Linked DNA regions of Arabidopsis thaliana. The protein of the gene in region 1 interacts with the protein of each later gene in a pairwise test. Each region holds a gene or a part of one and is shown in the gene's direction. Other genes may lie near its edges.

The links.
Region 2: the proteins of NRPB6B (region 1) and COL5 interact in a two-hybrid assay, tested with the Arabidopsis thaliana proteins (one large-scale study listed by BioGRID).
Region 3: the proteins of NRPB6B (region 1) and AT3G56270 interact in a two-hybrid assay, tested with the Arabidopsis thaliana proteins (one large-scale study listed by BioGRID).

What each region holds. Positions count from the first base shown.
Region 1 is NC_003071.7:1,616,201-1,624,621, reverse strand, and holds NRPB6B (RNA polymerase Rpb6), read left to right. Parts: upstream 1-4,242; 5' UTR 4,243-4,375; coding exon 4,376-4,413; intron 4,414-4,700; coding exon 4,701-4,734; intron 4,735-4,814; coding exon 4,815-4,987; intron 4,988-5,073; coding exon 5,074-5,125; intron 5,126-5,225; coding exon 5,226-5,293; intron 5,294-5,384; coding exon 5,385-5,454; 3' UTR 5,455-5,831; downstream 5,832-8,421. Other genes in the region: AT2G04650 (ADP-glucose pyrophosphorylase family protein), read left to right, coding at 136-187, 280-377, 690-790, 872-950, 1,044-1,104, 1,183-1,229, 1,318-1,410, 1,496-1,586 and 5 more. UniProt on the Arabidopsis thaliana protein: DNA-dependent RNA polymerase catalyzes the transcription of DNA into RNA using the four ribonucleoside triphosphates as substrates. Component of RNA polymerase II which synthesizes mRNA precursors and many functional non-coding RNAs.
Region 2 is NC_003076.8:23,353,629-23,359,689, forward strand, and holds COL5 (CONSTANS-like 5), read left to right. Parts: upstream 1-1,708; 5' UTR 1,709-1,944; coding exon 1,945-2,676; intron 2,677-2,765; coding exon 2,766-3,101; 3' UTR 3,102-3,361; downstream 3,362-6,061.
Region 3 is NC_003074.8:20,868,002-20,874,807, forward strand, and holds AT3G56270 (WEB family protein (DUF827)), read left to right. Parts: upstream 1-1,998; 5' UTR 1,999-2,218; coding exon 2,219-2,419; intron 2,420-2,713; coding exon 2,714-3,853; 3' UTR 3,854-4,106; downstream 4,107-6,806. Other genes in the region: AT3G56250 (uncharacterized protein), read left to right, coding at 81-155; AT3G56260 (uncharacterized protein), read right to left, coding at 198-791.

The sequences.
Region 1 (8,421 bases):
CTGATTACTCTGTTTTTCAACTTTAGTTCAAAAAACTTGAGAATATCCGACTACAAAGATACGACCTTTCAATACAAAATCAGATCATCGTCGTGTGTTTAACTTTAACGAATCTAGGTTTTATTGAATCTCGACATGTCGGAGGAGAAAGTCGTCGCTGTGATCATGGTTGGTGGTCCGACCAAAGGTATAACATTCTCTTTTGGATCTCAAATTCTATTTTCAAAACATGAATTTTTGATTTTGGTTTTGGGTTTTTGCTAATGTGGATTGGTTTAGGAACTCGATTTCGCCCGTTATCGTTCAATACACCGAAACCATTGATTCCTTTGGCTGGTCAACCTATGATTCATCATCCTATCTCTGCTTGTAAAAAGGTTTCTTCTTTTTACTATTTCTTGCTTTTGATCCCTGAGAAAAGTTTGGTATTGCTTGAGTCGTGAAAGTTGTCAACTTTGAAATGTGGATTGCTCATAACTTGTTTTGATTTGACATGGATCGTTTGTCTTTATGTGGGTTTGTTCCATTTTAGTACTCTACACTTTGGAATATTTTCTTGTTGTTGTATGATTTGTAGTGTCAAAGTTTTGAACTTTTCATAGTTTCTTCAGGCTCAAAGGATGGGAAAGTTCTCAACTTTGTAATGATGATTGATCATATTATATTTGTTTTGTATTTGGCATGGACAGATATCAAATCTGGCTCAGATTTTTCTGATTGGATTTTACGAGGAACGAGAATTTGCTTTGTATGTGTCTTCAATATCTAACGAGCTGAAAATTCCAGTGCGGTAAGTTGTAGTAGCATTTGTGTTTTTGGTTTTTGGTGTGTAATGTGAAATCGAGAATTGAACGATGTTCTTGTTATATAGATACTTGAAAGAAGATAAACCCCATGGTTCAGCTGGTGCTCTTTATTACTTTCGTGATAGAATTATGGAAGAGAAACCGGTTTGATTTCTGATGAAATTCCCAACTTTAGTTCCTGCCTCATCAGTCATTTGTTTTCCTGATTGATCTTCCATTTCTTGTCTCTTTGAACAGTCACATGTTTTCCTCCTCAACTGTGATGTTTGCTGTTCTTTCCCTCTTCAAGGCATACTTGGTAATCTCCCTTTGAAATCGCTAATCTGCTTCATCGTTTTCATTTTCTTACTTTGATGTACTTCACTACTTTTCGTAGACGCACATCGAAGATATGGTGGTATTGGAACTATGCTAGTAATCAAGGTTCGTTATCCTGATGTTATTTTAGATGTCACTAAGGAAACAAACATAAAGATCAAACATAAACATGAATATCGCTTTTTCACTTCAGGTTTCTGCAGAAGCAGCTAGCCAATTTGGTGAATTGATAGCTGATCCTGATACTAAAGAACTCCTGCATTATACAGAGAAGCCCGAGACTTTCGTAATTATCTGCTAAACAATCCTGTTTTCTTAATTCCTTCACAGGCTCTGAAATTTGTTTAGCTTAAATTATCTACTCAATGCAGGTCAGTGACTTGATAAACTGTGGTGTCTATGTGTTTACTTCAGATATCTTCAATGCAATTGAAGAAGTATATAGCCAAATAAGAGACACATGTGAGTATTCATTATTGGCCTCTCTCAGAGACTTGCAATATTATCAATTAGAGACCTGCTTCATCATTTTCATGATTCTTTTGGTCTTTTCATAAGTTATTCATTGTATAATCTCTTTAAACTTGGCAGCTAGCAACTACCAATCCGCTACAAGGTCTGTTCCTGCAGATTTTGTGAGATTAGATCAAGATATATTGTCACCTCTTGCTGGAAAGAAGCAACTATACACATATGAGAACAAGGATTTCTGGGAACAGATCAAGACTCCGGGGTAAGTTGGTGGTAATCATTGTTTCAGACGTTCTTGGATTACTCCTTATGCTAAGAAATTGCTTTAAACAGGAAATCTTTGAAATGCTCGGCTTTATATCTTTCCCAATTCCGCGAAACATCGCCTCATATTTTAGCTTCAGGAGATGGTACTAATAGGAAACCAACTATAATTGGTGATGTTTATATTCACCCATCCGTAAAACTGCATCCAACCGCAAAGGTGAGTTTATTTGTTTCATCTCATGAATTCTAGCTAAACTTCTCATTCAGTTTGCAAATGAAATGACACACTTAAATTTCTTTGGAACAAGATCGGTCCAAATGTGTCGATATCAGCAAATGTTCGTGTTGGACCTGGTGTAAGGCTTATTAGCTGCATAATCTTAGACGATGTTGAAATCAAGGTAATTTGGAATCAGTGTTTTAGAATGTTCTTCTTGTTATGAATCCAAAAGATTCGTTGTTTAATGTTCTCTACTCTTGTTAAATGCAGGAGAATGCTGTTGTTATAAACTCAATTATCGGATGGAAATCTTCTATAGGTAGATGGTCAAGAGTTCAAGCTAGTGGAGATTACAATGACAGGCTTGGGATTACCATTCTTGGTAACTTCATTGTTTTCTTTTTGTTCAACAAATTTTTCGTTATATTTTTTCTGATTAATTTGTTTCTGCAGGTGAGGCTGTAACTGTGGAAGATGAAGTAGCAGTCATAGGAAGCATTGTTCTCCAGAATAAGACTCTTAATGTTAGTGTTCAAGATGATATCATCTTGTGATTTATCACAATGATTATCGTTTGGATTTTTTTTCTTTTTAATTGAAACAGAGAAACTTTTACAGAATTGTGTATTACATGAATTGAGTTCACAGGATTAGATTTTGAGTAAGTGAAACTATGGAAGATTTGTAAACTCTCACTGTACTTTGTGTTTAGATACTAAAAAGATTTTAGAAGAAAGAGTTTTAAAAGATCTAAGATAACAAGGAATCAAAGAAGTTTTGCTTCTTGATTGTGTAATCACTAGTGTTCAATACCTCCTTAGGCTCCTTTCTTTTGTGCAAATTGCTCACTAGAAAAATTGTTTATCTTGACTTCGTTTGTGGGGGTAGGCCCGGACATAATACCGGAACCCGAAGAACCGAACTGAACTTGACTCGAAATAACCAAACCCGTTCTACTTCGGTTCCGGCTAATTACTTGATCGGGTTCTGTTTTCAAATAACCGTGGGTACCGGAAATTACCCGAACTGAACCCGATACCCGTGGGTACTTTTTATTACCCGAACATATATATACATAGGGCTGCGCATATGGGTAACCCGTTCGGATTCGGGTAAAACCCGTTCGGGTTCGGGTTAAATGGGTAATGGATTTACTACCCAATAGGGTAAAATGAAAATTTTCGATTTCGGTCTAGTTCGGGTACATTCGGGTTCGGGTCGGCTTGGGTAAAGAATTTCAGGCCCTAAGAATAGCCAAACAAATGAAAACGGGTATTTTATGTGTAGATAGCGGGTACCCAACAAAAAAAAAACCTTAAATATTAACAAATTTTAATAATTTAATTAGATTTAGATATATTATACTAAATTTTGACAAACATAACAAATAATTTTTAAATAGTTGGGTATTTAGATCTAAAAGTAATTGATATATTTAGATTTATAATTATAATTTTAGATTATTACATTATATTAAGATTAAATATAATTAATATTTTTGATATTAAATCTATGTTCGGGTATCCTGTTTGGGTAACGGATAAACCCCGGACCGACCTGATACCCACGGGTTTACTAAAACTTTACCCAATGAAGTAATTTCTTAAAACCCTAACCCACCCCAACCCGATTTTTCGGTTCGGGTATCAGGTTCGATATCGGGTCCCGTTTTTTGCCCAGCCCTATATATACATATGAGGATATATATACACTAATAATGTGACTTGTTTAATGATTTGAGTTATGGAACAAGCTTAAAACAAGGTTTACTTCTTGTTTTATATTATTGGCTTAAGGAAAAACTTGTTATAATTTCAGATCTTTCGGGTTTTATGGATATTTTTATGTATGTTTGGGTATATTTGGACAAAGTTTGGGTAAGTAGTACTCAAACCCGAAATAGTTTTGGTTACTTATGGTTTTTTTAACTAATACCTGAATTATCGGACCCGAAGTGAAGCCGAACCGAACCCGACCCGAAATTGTTGATATAACCATACGGATCCAAAATTTCTAAACCCAAAAATTCGAACCCGAAAAATCCGACCCGACCCTGACCCGAATACCACATGCCCAGGGCTATGTTAGGGGAAAAAAAAAAAATACATGTGGGCTTAAATGGGGTTTGAAATTAAAACCGGTCTGAATAGACGGTTCATTAAGAAAACCGGCAATTAAAAACCGAACTTCATAGAGAGTCTTCTTTACGCATTCTCCGTCATTCGGTTAAGTTGCATCGATCGTTAGGGTTTTATCGAGAGAGCAAGGAGAGCGATTTCTCAAATCGACTTTAATGGCTGACGACGATTACAATGAAGTCGATGACTTGGGGTAATCTCTCCCTCTCTGTTTCCTATGTTAGTATCATTTGTACTCGATTTCAGTTGATTCTATCTTCTTCTTCCCGACGAATCGTAAACGATTGAGAACAATTGGATCAATTATTGTCTAGTTTGAGAGTCTATCAACGAGATTCTTTTTTGAAAATTTGCTTATTGTTCTGGCATCGTAGCATTGATTATAATTTCATATTGTTTAGATAGAAAACCCTAATTTCGTTTGAATCTTATACATCGGATTTCAAATTGTTGATGTTATGTGGTGATTTTCAATTGCAGATATGAAGATGAGCCAGCAGAGCCTGAGATCGAAGTAAGTTATTATTTGTAGAAGAGAGATTGACATTGCTTATTATTATTACTAGGCTGATTAGAATGTGTTGGTGTGAGTAGGAAGGAGTAGAGGAAGATGCTGATATCAAGGAGAACGATGATGTTAATGTTGACCCTTTGGAAACAGAAGATAAGGTTGAAACAGAACCTGTGCAACGCCCACGTAAAACCTCTAAGTTTATGACTAAGTATGAACGTGCACGTATCCTCGGCACTCGTGCTTTGCAGATTAGGTCAGCTACTGAGAACAATCTTTGTTGATTAACCGTTTAGTTGGCTCGGAAAGTTTGATTCTATGTACTGTTGTTGGCTGATACAGCATGAATGCTCCTGTTATGGTTGAGTTGGAGGGTGAGACTGATCCACTTGAGGTGTTGCCTTCTTCCTTCTTGTTGTGTTTTTCATGATTTGTCAGTAAATGTTGATATGTATATGAACATTTGTGTTGTTTATTGTATGATTTGGCTTAAGATTGCGATGAAAGAGCTTAGGCAAAGGAAGATTCCATTTACCATTAGACGTTATCTACCTGATATGAGGTGAGATTGCATTAGTTATATCAATACTTTTAGCTCTTCTTTCAAATTTGATATCTTCTTTTCTTGCGACTTACTTATGACTCTGAATCAGTTACGAGGAATGGGGAGTTGATGAACTGATCGTCGAAGACTCGTGGAAACGTCAAGTCGGTGGTGATTGATAAAATCTGGCCTATGTGTTTTGCAAAGCTTTCTGCTCTTGTATGGATTATGAACTTACGATATAGTCGCATGTAGAACTTCTTCATTTGTCCTATTCTCCAACACTACAAGAGTCAGGGACTCCAACAAAAATGCATGAACAACAAATTTTTTGTCCCAAGTTGTTTTTGGACATGGGTTTCGACAAGCCTGCATGTACATATACAAAGAAAGAAAATCCTTCGTGAAACCAAAAGAAGAAAACATCTATAATAGTTTGAGTATTGAGTAAGTACAACTCAATTGATAAACCTTTTCTCTCACACTTCCCAGCTTTTGTCGTCTCACAGAGTCAGATCGATTGATGCATAAATGAGTGATGCTAAAAATCAAAAAGCAAGATTAGAGAAGAATTATGCATGTTGTTTAAAGAAGTTGAGAAATAGTAATGTTAAAAACTATGTGAAGCGCTTGCTCGAGGATTGTTTCAGCAACACTATACAAGTGACTGGACTCAACTACTCACCATAGTCTCGGCCCAACGCAAGGATAGTGTAGCATGTTTCTTGATGAAATACATCTTTCAAACCACCGTTTACACCATCTGGCATGAGAGGAATCGAAGACGTCATGATGAATCTCCAAAATCTGCAGCCACTCTAATACAATGGATCGACAAGCAAATGCGTTTCCAACGCTGGCTTCAAAGTTGAAGTTAATCACTAAATTGTTCATTCTAATTTCTGATTTCAATCTATTTCATATAGAACATATGATACACTAATTGTAACGACGTTATCTTTTTTGAATCTAATTTACCATTTTCCAAAAAAAAAAAAAAAAAAAATGCAGGGATTAGAGAAGAATAATGCATTAAACTCAAAGCAAATAACTGTTAAATAGACCTTGGGATACACAACGTACAAAATAATGCATCTACATATACATTTTTGCAGCCATTTTAACAAATAAATTCTGGACTTTGAACTTATTTACGACTCAATGCCACTGAATTTATGCTAACAGTTAAATCAAATATTTACCTAACAAAAATATTACCTAAAATCTCTCATATATTAACTCCACCATTACTTCAAACGAAATCATTCCTAAAATCTCTCATAAGTATTTATTAATTTTCGGTTTTAATATCCTGTAAAAAAAATCGATTTCAATAAAATGAATTAATCATCCTGATTTTTCGTTTTAAATCATTTATTTTTGTTATAACCAGAGAACGAGATAGAAGAAATGAGTGTGTTATTCCATTGAGATAAAGGGTTCTTTATATAGGTGTACAAGGAAAGGGTAAAACCCTAGAAACATCTAGATGATGGGTTTAGATGATGGGCCTTATAATGGGCATCCATCTTTATTCATAACACTCCCCCTGATGACCATTATAGTATCATAACTCGTAAAGTATTTGAAATGCTGCCTCATAAAGGGTTCTCATTAAAATGCTGCCTCGTAAAGTAAGGGTACATCCACACATATCATTCAATCTCCCCCTCGGAAACATCTTCTTCAGGAGATGATTTTCAATCAAATACAATATCTCGTTGGAATTAATAACCATAATCTTAATGATCAAAATTATATGGTTTTCATATAGACTTATAAATATCATTATCCAGTGATATTTTATCATAGATAATTGTCATCGTATTACTTATGATAACTCTGTAGGAGTTTTAATGATTTTCAAAACAAATATTAGTTTGATCAATATATTTTGACAAACTCAATATAAATATACATTTATATGATTATATGTCATGTTATATATTTCTTTTTATTCGATCGAGTAGAGTTCTAGAGAACATAATTCTCATATAATTAATCCTTCAGAGATTATATCTTTCAAGAATTTCATATAAATGTCATATCCAGTGTTCCGTGTCTTATTGCCAGACTTTAGATACTTAAAAATATTACATCCACCACAAGAGAATATATCTCTTCATAATAAATTTCTTATCTTTGTGAAAATCTCATTAATTTCACTATTCTTTCACATAAAGACTCATTTATCTTCCAATGATGTTTTTATGGTTTTACACATCATGTGCATAGACTACTAGTCCAAATATCTCTACTAGAGATTATAATTATATGTCTATTTCTTCTTTTCCATTTTTGGCTAATCATTACTTTGTGTACACTTTTCAATAGACTTTCTTTCATAATCCTCCTTTTTGTCCATAATATCAACTGCTCATAGCATGCAAATATATTACGACGTCGATTTGCATTTGATTCCATTATATTTTGACATGACATAGCTAGCTAGATCTCTTCATTGTCAAGTACTTAAATGTTTCATTTGTCATGTTTATGTCTCTTTTAGAGATCATTCACTCTTTTCAAGAGATCATCAAAATATTTATTTCCTCAATTTGGTCATTTTTAATTTTGTGCTCCTTCACTTTTACGAGGATATTTATATTTGGAACCAGGGTCTATTACGCTTTATGCGATCTTAAGACTCAATAGCAGTTTGAAATTGGTCCTTACAGGACATTCATTATATTCTGGAGCATTTAATTTACAACTGGTATAGGTGACTTCATCACTTTATTTGGGTCAGCAAATGCGTCTGGCAATTACAACGCTAAATTCTGTAATTGAATTATCTTTTGGACTCTTAATATACATTCTTTACTCCGAGGATCATTGATAATTCATTTCTATTTATCTTTTTCACCAGTTGTATACATTCTCCCCCTTATGTTGGAATAGCTGACTATATAATATGATAGTCTTCAAAACGGTATATAAATCCTTCTAGGATGGCTTAGTTATCATTCATATCCAACATGTATTCTTATCCTCCTTCGAGGGTTCATCTCAACGTGCTGTGGTGGAGCACTTATCACATTCAAAGATTTTAGATGAAAACTATTTGGTTTCTGACCCAAAACCAACAATAATGGGGGAAACTATTAATTATTCATTGGCTTGATGCGTATCGATGTTACTAAACC
Region 2 (6,061 bases), on another chromosome or scaffold:
AACATCCTCGATTGTGGTGGAATCTGTTCCGATATATTATTGGTTAATTTTTGATTGAGGCGAACTAATTATGTAATAAGTACTCTTCTTTTCTAAACTTTGAATCATATATAGTCAAATATTGAAAATAATAAAAAAGAAGATACAGAAAATTTATTCGCACATGATTTTAAAATTGACGATAAAATCTTGAGATGGGGTCAAAATACAGTGCATTTTAGTGCCCAAAACAGCAAAACAATTTTGCGTGGATCTCATGTCGGAAGATAACAATAAAGATAAATATCATTGGCTATGTAATATATATAGATAGAACTGTGATATAAAAATCTATCGCAATATTTCTATTGTACAAATATGTTTCCTCTAACTCTTTCGTATACGTGGATAGATAAGGATTTTGATAGTGTTGCCTTATATCTTTTCTTTTCACTCTCTTTTTAAGTACCAACCGTTGCGTTTACTTTGTTCTTCCTTTTGGAACTAGACCCTAGGTCAAACGGGCCTGTGTAAATTTTTGGATTATACAGTTTTTAGCCGGTAAACGAAAAAGAATGTATTTTACTACCTAAGAAGAACATATCAGAAAGCAAACATTATAAAAGAAAATATCGTATAAGTATACTTCATCATTTAAGATTATTGATTAGTAAAATATATATCAGAAAGCAAACATTATATCAGAAAGCAAACATTAGAAAGATTTAATATTTTGAGAGAAAAGATAAATTATAAGGTATGATCTTATGAGAATTGAATCTCGAACACGTTGCTTTATAACACACTACAAAATGTATATTTTTATTGATAATATATTACCGAATCTTCATTACTAAAACCGCAAAAAGAAATCTTAAGTAAAGCTATACCTTATGATTTCTCGAAGTCAAAGTTTCTGTAATTAGAAAGAAAAATCAAATTTGCTTTCATGCCGAACTGTAGATAAAGATTTCTAAATCATGCCGACCATACTGTCCATTTTTTCAATATTATTTAAAATTCCATGAATATCCATCCTCAAAGGGCCCTGTCTAGAATACGATACAACTAGTATATAATAAGTCTACAACTACGTAACGGAGTTATCATTCTAAAAGATAATACATATTTGACAAAATAAATAGAAAATTAAAGTTTTTAAAAAAATATTTGTAAAATTTATGAACATAGTGGTCATTTGGTCGAGAAAGAAGATTTTTTTTTTCTTTTAAGATGAAAAAATTGTATGGGTCATTAATATCATCTTATTATTTAAAGATGTACAAGCTTTAGCTTATCTCATTTAAGGATGTACAAGTTATATGCATACACACGCAAAAATAAAAATAAATCAAAGTTTAATATTTAGTTTGGTGAGAAGAATTTGAGTCATTGACATAATAAATTTTGAAATCATGTTTGAAAAGGAGACTATAAGCTAGTATCGGTCCCTAGACGAAATGATGCCTCAAGAACATACGAAGTTTATTAATTAAACTTTATTTCTATTCATTAACAAATAAAACAGCCAAAACAAAACTAATTCAATACCGACATGATAGATAAAATCCATTCAAAACCTCAAACAAATTTGTTTTGGAGTTAACAGAAATAAAATATTTTGAATTTGTAGATACTCCTACATGAAAGAAAAATGAATTACGATATCAAGGACCAGCCTAATTATTTTATTTTGTTAGCCTAATTTTCATTTCTACAAAACATATCTCCATCACGATTTTATTAAAACAAATCCCATAATTCGATTTTATTATGTGGATGTCATGTTTACACGTGTCATATTACAATTCGTTAAAATACAGTGTCTCTTCTCTGTCCGACTGGGCATGACAGATCATCCAAGCAAATCAAATACCCAACTCTCACACGTTCTCAAACAAAAACTTCAAAGAGAGAGAGAGAGAGAGTTTTGTGAACTCAAGAAAATAAAAAAAGTTATAGTTAATGGGATTCGGCTTAGAGAGTATCAAATCAATCTCCGGCGGATGGGGCGCGGCGGCGCGTTCCTGTGACGCTTGTAAATCAGTTACCGCCGCCGTGTTCTGTCGAGTTGACTCAGCTTTCTTATGCATAGCATGTGACACAAGAATCCATTCCTTCACTCGCCACGAGCGCGTGTGGGTTTGTGAAGTTTGTGAACAAGCTCCCGCCGCCGTCACTTGCAAAGCCGACGCCGCCGCTCTTTGCGTCAGTTGTGATGCCGATATTCACTCTGCTAATCCTCTCGCTAGCCGTCACGAACGTGTCCCCGTCGAAACTTTCTTCGACTCAGCCGAAACCGCCGTCGCCAAAATCTCAGCTTCTTCGACTTTTGGTATCCTTGGCTCATCCACCACCGTTGATTTAACCGCTGTTCCGGTTATGGCTGATGATCTCGGTTTATGTCCGTGGTTACTTCCTAATGATTTCAACGAACCGGCTAAAATCGAAATCGGAACTGAAAACATGAAAGGTTCTTCTGACTTTATGTTTTCTGATTTCGATCGGCTTATTGATTTCGAGTTTCCGAATTCGTTCAATCATCATCAAAACAACGCCGGAGGAGATAGTCTTGTTCCGGTTCAGACGAAAACAGAGCCTCTCCCGTTAACTAACAATGATCATTGCTTCGATATTGATTTCTGCAGATCAAAGCTCTCTGCTTTCACTTACCCTTCTCAATCAGTCAGCCACAGTGTAATTTCCCTCCGTCAAAATCAAATCTTTTATCATAAAATTTGCTTAAATTCAGTAAAAAACTAATCTTTGAATTTTGTGATTTTCAGGTTTCGACTTCTTCTATTGAATACGGTGTAGTTCCTGACGGAAACACAAACAACTCTGTTAACCGGAGCACGATCACTAGCTCGACGACTGGTGGTGATCATCAAGCGAGCTCTATGGATAGAGAAGCTAGGGTTTTGAGGTACAGAGAGAAGAGAAAGAACAGGAAATTTGAGAAGACGATTCGTTACGCTTCGAGGAAAGCTTATGCAGAGTCACGGCCAAGGATCAAAGGCCGGTTTGCGAAAAGAACAGAGACAGAAAACGACGACATTTTCCTTAGTCATGTTTATGCTTCAGCAGCACACGCACAGTACGGTGTCGTACCAACGTTCTGATTCGAATCTACGGTGGATAAACAATCAACCTGAAGACTTCATATCTTCCACCGTTGATTTACAGTCGGTGTATAATAAGTATAGTGAGTCTTACCGTAGACAAACATCTTATCCTCTTTACCGTTTTAATTACTTTTTTTTTACGCGCTCTCACTGCCACTGTAACTCTTTTTTTTTTTCTTCCTATATATGTATGCTTATTTTTATTTAGAAAATGTTATGAAATCATATAATTTGGTAATTATAGTTTCTATTGGCTGATGTTGTCTTGTCGCTAATCATATAATTTGGTAATTCTAATCTCTATTGGCTGATGTTGTCTTGTCACTAGTTTTGTTGATGCAGATTAGGTGGAGTTTTGGCTTGGTAATTGTTACGTAGCATAAATTATAACGAAAGCACAAACTATATGACATTTAATACTAATAGGGGGAGATTTTTAGGTCACTATAACTTACACAAAAGTATTTTTCTGAGATTTATCTAATCAATCTAGCTCATGCATTTTTAATATTTGTATCCCATGCACGAGAAGCATCGGATTTTTGTTTTTTTTGTTACATGTAGTTGTGAGTTTTTTTTTTTATGTTTGAAATCATGAAAAAATAGTCATACGTATGTGTAAACTATCTCTCTAATCTACCGTTGAAAGCTTTTTATTTGTTGTTTTCTTTGTTCCGAAAATACTTATTGTATTACTGAAAAGTTTTTTGATTCGTTAAGGCATATATGTATATTCCAGATCCAAAATCTCTGGAACTTTCGCAGAGTTAGTGAAAATAGTTGCTTTTCCGGAAATCGATCGTAGGAAAAGAAGGGAAGGTTGCAATTAATGGTTTTGTCCGAAACTTCATTAACTTTGCCTTTTGGGTAGCTGTAGAGCCAATCTTATCTCTCTGCAAGAACGTGATTATTGTCAGATAAAGTCAAAGTCCATTTCAACTGTGATATTTTGTCGTTAGTGATCGGTGATTTATGGTATCACTATCTCGTATTATCTAATAGCCTTTACACAATCTCGGACCTAAGTTAACTATATTCATTCAAGGAGGCTAAGAATGAGCCAGAGTATTTTCTTCATTTTAGATGTTTACACTGATCTACCACAATTGAAATCATAGTAGCTAGGAAAACTTGAATCCTATCTCTTATATTTCAGAGTATATATTTGAACCACTAAACTATTCTAAACCTTCGACTGTTAGATGATCCACTGATAAAATATGCACGTAATAACCTTGTTATGTTTTTCTAATAAATCATCTACTCGTAAGTTACCTTATAGTTTACTTAAAAGTTATATCGTAGTGTCTTTGCAACTACTATAGGACTTGCATACGTATGATATAACAAAGTATGTTAAAGACATATCAATTTGTTAATACATACACATAATCTTCTAAACTCACGCAGCAGTCTCTTCAAATTCATACCACCTCTAGCTATAATCTCGTTAACATTTTTTTAGAATGTAGCTACTTTTTATGAAATGTATATACAGTATTGTGAATATATAACTCATGATCAATACTTTGGATTGAGATATAGTTGAATGAGACTTCTGCCGTCCAAGTGGGTTTAGAGACCTTGATACAAGGGGCAATTTAGGCAGGATATTTTTTTGGAAGGTAAGCTTGAGATTTGCAAATAGTGGCTACGAATGCTTTGGGGCCACATATATACAATCATAATAACGTTAATAATAGCGCATTAAAGAAAAGTTTTGACAATACATAGAACTAAAGTTTGATTTATTAAACAAAAAAAAAACAAAGAATTAAAAGTTGGATGTTGAGTGTCACGAATAAATTGGGTAAATGTGGTGTTTTTCCCCCAATTAACCTTTGATTAAGCTTGTTAGGTGATTTCCACCAAACTCATTGTCTATTATGCATTAATCATACGATTATTATTCTTTATAAATGATTATCAGTCTAATTGATTTCAATTTATTTTGTAAAGACATTTCCAAGTTTACATGACAACGTGTATAACTCGTGTGCGAATGTATGTTCCTTGGACTTATATTAAATTAAAATCATGTATTAGATGCAGCATGCATGGGTTGACACACTTCAAAATACTTATACGTCCAACTTTTTTTTTTTTTTTTTTAACATATAGAACTACTATTTGTAGACTTGTAGTCACAATGCAAACAATTATAATATTATAAACGAATATTTTCTTGTAATTTATCAAATTCTTTTCTTGAAAGCTGTGGTTTCTTAACCGAGTATCTATATCTACAACGACATTCGAACGAGTTTACGTCTAAGTAAGACACTCGTATTCGTATATAGATGGTTCATCATCATCATTTAAGCACTTTACAAACCGTTGGATATGAAACTTGACATAGTGTGACAAAACAAAAATTTTGGTAATGGTGGTGACTACTGATTAAGTGATTAGTGACACAGTACTCTCAATAGCAAAATTCCACAATGCTTATACAGATTATATACTTTATGAAAAACAATGACAAATAGTATATTTTAGTCATCGATCATCTATATGACTTAAGTAATAATAACTTTTTAATTATGACTCGTGAATTTTGGAAACCTTTTTTTCTTTTGTCAACCAAAGTAATCTTTAAATTGTGTAAACTCCCCCAAAAAGAGGTAATAAAGAGGCACATTGTCACATTTAAAGGGAAAAACTTGTTAACAGTTGAACCAATAAATTGGGAAGAAAGAAGAGAAAAAGAGACAATTATTTGTTGGCACCATGAAAGAGAGACCTGCGTGGCCCAAAGTGGGTCCGACATAGACTGGGTCGAAGAGGAGACAAGTGGAGGGTCCGACCATACCCTAACCACGTGCATCACCGGCCCAGAGGGCTGGTCTCGTGGTCCACTTCTGCACCTTAATCCCTATCCTAACAGTTCCCATCTGCCACTAGATAAACATTGCCATTGCAAAACAAAACAAAGAAACTAACAAAAATAACTTAAC
Region 3 (6,806 bases), on another chromosome or scaffold:
TTTAACATCGTTTCAGTGGGAGAACGTTCTTGGTTCTACTTAGACATGAATTGACGAAAAAGCCTGTCCACAATACACAGGTAAGGCCACGACTGAGAGACAAACTATATACTTACATTCACACACCAATAACTATAACACTCTCTGTTCAATGAGGCGAAGCAGCTCATAGAAAAAACCAAGCTTTATTCACATAATCAAGCTTTATTCATGTCGCTGATGATTAGAGCTTTACCTGTGGTCTCATGTCTCTTCATACCCTCCATTGACCCAGAGAACAGAGCTCTTGTCACACTCCCCATTGAAGAACTACAGCCAAGTCTTCCCCCGTTGGAGCAACACAGAGTCGAGGTTGGTGAAGACCTAAGCTCATCCTCTTCGTAGTTAGCGTACAGAAGTGGCGATTTTTTGTCGTGACTCATACGTTTTTTCAAAGAATGTGGTGGCGAGGAGGAAAAGGAAGATGAAGATGACGTAGAAGACCAAGAAAACGATGAGCTTGCCGTCTTCTTGCTACCGTGATTGCTCCTCCTGAGATCACTGAACATGGAGAAGGACAGAAACTTACTTAGTTTTGATCTCACCTTGCTTTGCGTCCTTGGTGTCGACAAAATCCCGGAGGAGTAGTATGAGGGCGGCGGTGTGAGAGGCAGAGGAAGAGAGGAATCGGAGCAGAGGTGGTTTTTGGGTGTTCCTGGCCTTGACTCCCATATGAATGGTATGGAGGCTCCGCCATAGTAGGAGGATCTCTCTTCATCGATTGCAAAGTCATCTTCTAGTCTTTCTGACATCTGTTTTTTATAAACTCTCGGTTTATGTTTGAGTCGGCTTTTGATGAGAATTGATGTACGAAAATTGAAACAACAAGTGCTAGTTTCGAAGCTTCTTTAGAGGTGACAAAGAGTAATATGTATTGCGAGTAAAACAAGTTTGCCGATGAAACAAAAGAATCTTCTTTGCACGGTTGTATATAATCGTGGATATTTATTCTGCTTTTTTATTTTCTTTAGGAAAAATTCATATGGATGAGCATATTACAAGTATATGGAAGATCATACATAGGGGAAAAAATTGGTTAGATAATAAATGAAAGGTGGCTATCTTACTGTATGCATTACTTAATGCGTTTTCATTAATAATAAGAGAGTCGTGAGGTGAGGATCACATTATTGGTAAACAGTTACTGTAGTAAGCATTGCTTAGAGTATTTAATATGTTACCTTTTGTGGGATTCCACTCTATAAACCTTTTTATTTGGTGTTCTTATAATTAAGGAAATAATTATTGACCAACAAATCCACACGTTTTAATATATATCAAGACTACTAACCTTGTTTGTCGTAATTTGAAACTACTGACCAAAAGTTTGGGGCATGTTCATCCAAAAGATATAATGGTTTACATTTAATGAAATGATAATTTAGATAGGATATAATAGGGAACTACTCAGAGTGTCAGACCAAACCATCTGAATACGTACCAATGTCAAGTGCTAACTGGTAACTCCCAACAATAGTAATTAGAAAAGATATATATATTTGTCGGTTCTAATTAGTTGGAAGAAACGTATGCGGAGAAATAAATAGAAACGTGAGAGATCGAAAGACGACGGTGATGAATTTGGACGGTTGAGTGAGGGAGGTCGTATAATTTAATGGTCGTTTCCAATCGTATTCGTACGTGGTCCGTTTTCTCCTACTCGGATTTTGCTTTAATGTGATGGCCACACAAATTGGTTAGAAAACTATAAGGGAAAGCTCCACCTATTTATTTCACTCATACATTTACTATACACTAATATCGCACGGGAAAATTATAACAATTTTCGGATATTCGTATTTGAACAGAAACAAACAACACATACGTAAGAATTTCCTTCACAAAAAAGCCCAATATAGACGAACTTGAACTTCGTACCAACGGCCCAATATCGCTTCCTTAATCAACGGCCCAAAATTTTCATTTATTAATTAATCAGATAACCAATCAATAGAAGCCACGTCGCCACAGCCATTAGTAGTAGCATCATCAAAGCCTGCATTCTTGTTCTTCGAGTCTCTCTCGTGAGTGACTTTCATTACCGAGAAAAACACAATCATAGAGAAGCTCTCAATCTTGTTTGCTTCTGATCAGTAACTATGATTACTGTAAATAGATCACTCTTTCATTATCTTTCCCTTTCACTTGTACAAACCAATTCGTTCTCGAGCTAACGGAAATGGCGGAGAGGCAACAGAGCCCTGCGGCGGAGACGATTCCCGGTACACCCGTAATCCGGGAAGTGAGAACCGGAACCGGGTCCGAGAATTTCAACCCGGAGAATACAAGGAGAGGATGCTTGAGAGCTGAAATCGACATTTCTCCACAGTTATATGGTGGTCGTGGGTTCTGGGTTCCCTTCAATCTTGAAGACAATTACGTGAGTTCTCTTCTAGTTTCCGATTTACAAAGTCTGTTCATTTAAAGTTTGAGCATTAATGTCACTGAAAGTTTGAAATGTATGTTCTCTAACTGTTAAGTATGCTAACAAACTGAATAACTGATAGCTGATTCGATTTGGTTACTGAGTAGATATTTTGTAATAAGTGATAGCTAATTTGATGTTTGCATTTGCGGCAATTGATTCTGGAACTAGCAAGATGTTATGTAAGATTTTTTTTTGGTATTATATAGCATGATTTGTTTTATGTTTTTTTGGTTTGTCATTCTTCAGGACTGTGTGGGAGAATTTGACATAAAGAGAATGGAAGAACAGACAGTGGAGCTTGAGAAGGATCTGATTATGAAAGAGTTAGAGACTCTGGATCTTCTTGAAGCTCTTGGATCAACCAAAAGGATTTTTGAAGATTTGAAGTGGCAGCTTCAGCAGCAAGCACTGAGATGCAAGGAGACCCCTCAACATTTGCGTTCACACTCCAAAGAGATGGTCGATGAGCACTGCCATCGTAATCCCCTGAAGTCTCCGGATCTGATGACCATGGAAATGAAGCAAGCTGGTATGAATCTTTGTAAAACCATGGATGATCTTGCGTTGATCCACTCTTATGCTGAATCTCTGAATATGAAAACGAAGGAAGAGAAAGATGTCCTTGGAGTAGCGTCTCTAGCGGAGGAACTTAACAGTTTGAAGTTTAAACCAGCAGGTCCTGATCAAGTAGAGAGATTCAATACCGAGAATTTACCAGTGAATCCACAATGTGAACAGATTAAGATGGTAGTTGAAACCTATGATACAGCTTTCCATAAACAGAGCAAAACCTGCCCGAGAACTGCAGATATGAGATTGGTTGCTGCAAGAAAAATGGAAGAGGCAGCAAGAGCAGCGGAAGCACTTGCGCTTGCTGAAATGACCATATTATCCAGCAGAAGAAACCAAGACGCTCTCTGCTTCCCTAAGACACCATGTTTTCCATTAACACTTAAAGCACAGATGAACAAAGAATTATCCACCAATGTCTCAAGAATAGAGATCTTGAGGAAGCTGGAGGAAGCTAACGAAGAAGTTAAACAAAGTAAACAAGCCTTGGAAGTTGCGTTAAACCGGGTAGAAATCGCTAGTGTGAAGCAACTTGAAGCAGAAGAGGCATTTCGGCAGTGGAACATAGAGTCATGGAAAGACCAGAAAGCTGTTGGAGCAAAACGCTCGATGAAAAGAGAAAGCTTTCCTCAGCGCTCTTTCTTGAGCCATATCAATCAGCACGAGCCACTGATCGATCTCCCTGAGCCAATGCTGAAACGTAACGTCTCAATGGGTAATGCTCTTAACCGAAAAGATGAGAAACAGTTGGTCACGCCGAGGAGAAAGTTTAGGTTCATACAAACACATCAAGCTTCCATTAGAAAAACAGAGTAAGCTAAAAAAATACCCAACCTTTGAAAACATGTTTTGCACATTTCGATTCCTGTTTTTTTTTATTCTTGGTTTGATCATTGATGGGTGTTGTTGCTTCCATCAAAAGCAAAACACAGATGATTAGAGTGAGATGTGTTGTTTTGACTCAAATGTGACAAAAAGAAAAACATTATAGTAAAAACTAAAGCTTCTAGTAATCATAATTAATTATGGGAGTTAGTGAAGGGCATTGATCATATGATTTAGGTGGTGGGCACTTTCTTAACTAATGCATTTTAAGTGTTAGATTAGCTAATTAGGTGATCCATAATCAATACCGTAGGTCCTCAACTGTTTATTTTTTAATAACGTTGGTCTTTATAATGTTTCTAGATTCTCAAAATAGAAACTGAAACATTCAGGTTGAACTACGGAGATAAAAACACATTTTACGATTTGACCAGTTTGTACTTTATACTGTATAAGTTTGGAGTGGTCAGATACAGAATGATGACGTGGTCAAGGCTTTTAAGACAATCTAGATATCTCCAATAACTTAATGCCACGTGTTTTAGTCTTCACAACAAAGATTTCGTCTGGAATCCTCGTATTGGCTTAGAGCGTGGGACCAAACGAAACCAAAAGAAGGAAAAGGAACTAAATAAATAAATAATTAAAAAATAAAGTTGAAAAGTAAGAGTGGCGTGGGTTAGCAAAATCATTGTCTCAGGCTAAAATGTGCCACTCCCAACACGTGGGCTACTCTTTTCCAAGTGTCAACTATCTGACGGTACGTTTGCACTTTTTTAAATTAGGTTGCTTTGCGCTCGTTTCGTGTCAATAATCCAAAGACAACGTCTTTATCTTTATTTATTAATTTTGTTTCTCCTAAACATTAAATGTTGTAGCTTTTTGATCATTTTTCATGTTGTAAAATATAATATAATACCCTCTGCTTTGCTTATAAAACGGAAAGGATGCATAGTACACAAAGATCCAGACCAACAAAAAAAAAAGAGGGAAAATCTCCTTGTTCAATAGTCAATAAGTTAGCCGCTATCGATCTTTAGAAAGATCCGTCGATGAGTCCATCCCATGGCGACCGGACCACCGCATTTGCCTCGACGGATCTAGTCATGTTGAGCATGGTACCGGTATTCAACCATCCTTAATTTCATTCTTTGATACCTTTTAGGCATGATACTCTTGATATATGATTCTATAAAGGTATATATATTGAAACTATTTTATGTAAGAAGTTTATTATTGAGGGCACACGTGCAGACATGTTTCAGGCTTAACCATATGGAGAAGGGATGATAACGAGATCTCTCTAGACGTGGATGGGATTTTCGGTTCAAAGATGGAATATTCATATAAATTCACATGCGGATTATAGTTAAATCGGAATAAAGTTTTGATAAGTGGACTCTCCTTACCTAAGTGGGGATGGTAGTCCAGTCTTGTATCAATATATATATTTGGGCTAACTTAGCATGCATATAGAATCATTATCAATGTGTTAGAATATTCTCCACCTATGTTTCGTTCATCCCAATTCCCACATTACTTCGAAAGGTGTCTCAAAAGGCAAGTCATTTTTTCTGGCTATGTATTATTAAATGAAGCTTCGGTTACTAATACTTTTCCACAATTTTCCCCCCTAATTTATTATAAGTGTTTGTAATGGAGAAAGGTTTGATGGAATTAGTAGTTTCCTTTTATGTATGAATGTGATATGTTTTATATTGTAAAGTAGGTTAGCAACTATTTCACTAGAAATCTGCAAAAAGCTACATTATTTATCAATGGCCAAAAAAACATTTGTGGCTAAAAATGAATGGCCACTATAGATACCCTATGGCTATCTAGCTAGCCGTTTCCATGAGAACAATTTATGAGTTTGGAGAGCATGTTTGATCCATAGAAGCAGAATGTGGAGGCTTGAAGGAGGATCGAGACCAGCGAGATTGGTGAAGAACCTTCAGATTGAGTTACTAAAAGTGCTAGAGAAATAGATGATCTTGCGTTTCGTTCTCTTGATGTAGCGACCCCTATCACAAGTATAAAAATATGGAAGCAAAAACAAATTCTGAAATTACATATTATTAATCTTTTGTGCCATGGGACCGCTTATACAGGCTAAGACAGACAATATCTTAAACCCTAAACATTTTCATTTTCAATGAATTTTACATTCTTAGCAAAACAAATTAACAAACAAAAAAGAGAAGAAAAAAAACGATTCCAAGTAGCTATCGAATATACAAACCGTTCACCGTTTCTTAATTTGGAATGATGGACTAAAACCAAGTTAATTTATGTTAAGAGTACAGACTCGAGAGCAGGCTGAAGAGTGTGCCATATGGAATTAGTATTGAACAATAATTATATTACTTTTGAGAGAACATATTTATACATCAGAGATTAGGATTTTTCTATCTACAATTACACTTAAGACTTTTACATTTATATAATAACATTTTTCCTTTACATAACCCCTCAAGATTGGACTGACTACTCCACTCTTGGAAAAAATGTTAATTTGAAAAAGGTTAACGATTGCAAGCCAGTGGATTTGTCAAGGCATCGACGAGTTGGTCTTTAGATGAAAGACAAGCAACTTGAAGTGTTTTTTAAGTTATTAGAATATTCCTAATTAAGTGATATTCGAGGGCAAGATGTTTCATTCTCAAATGGAACATCGGATTGGCACATAAATATGTTGCGTCCACATTAAATGACGGGAGTAGATGATGTAATTGAGATGCCAGGCTATGAGATCCAGTGAATTTCAGAAGAGGTATTTGGCACTGAGTTGTACTACCATGTAGCTTTAAAGCTACCTGAAAGTACTGATGCTAGAAAGAGAAGAAGAATAACAACAATGTATGTTCTCATGAAGAAATACCAAATGTAACTATCTCTTTTTCAAAATACCTAAAACAACAAAAATATTACGAAGGATGGTTTT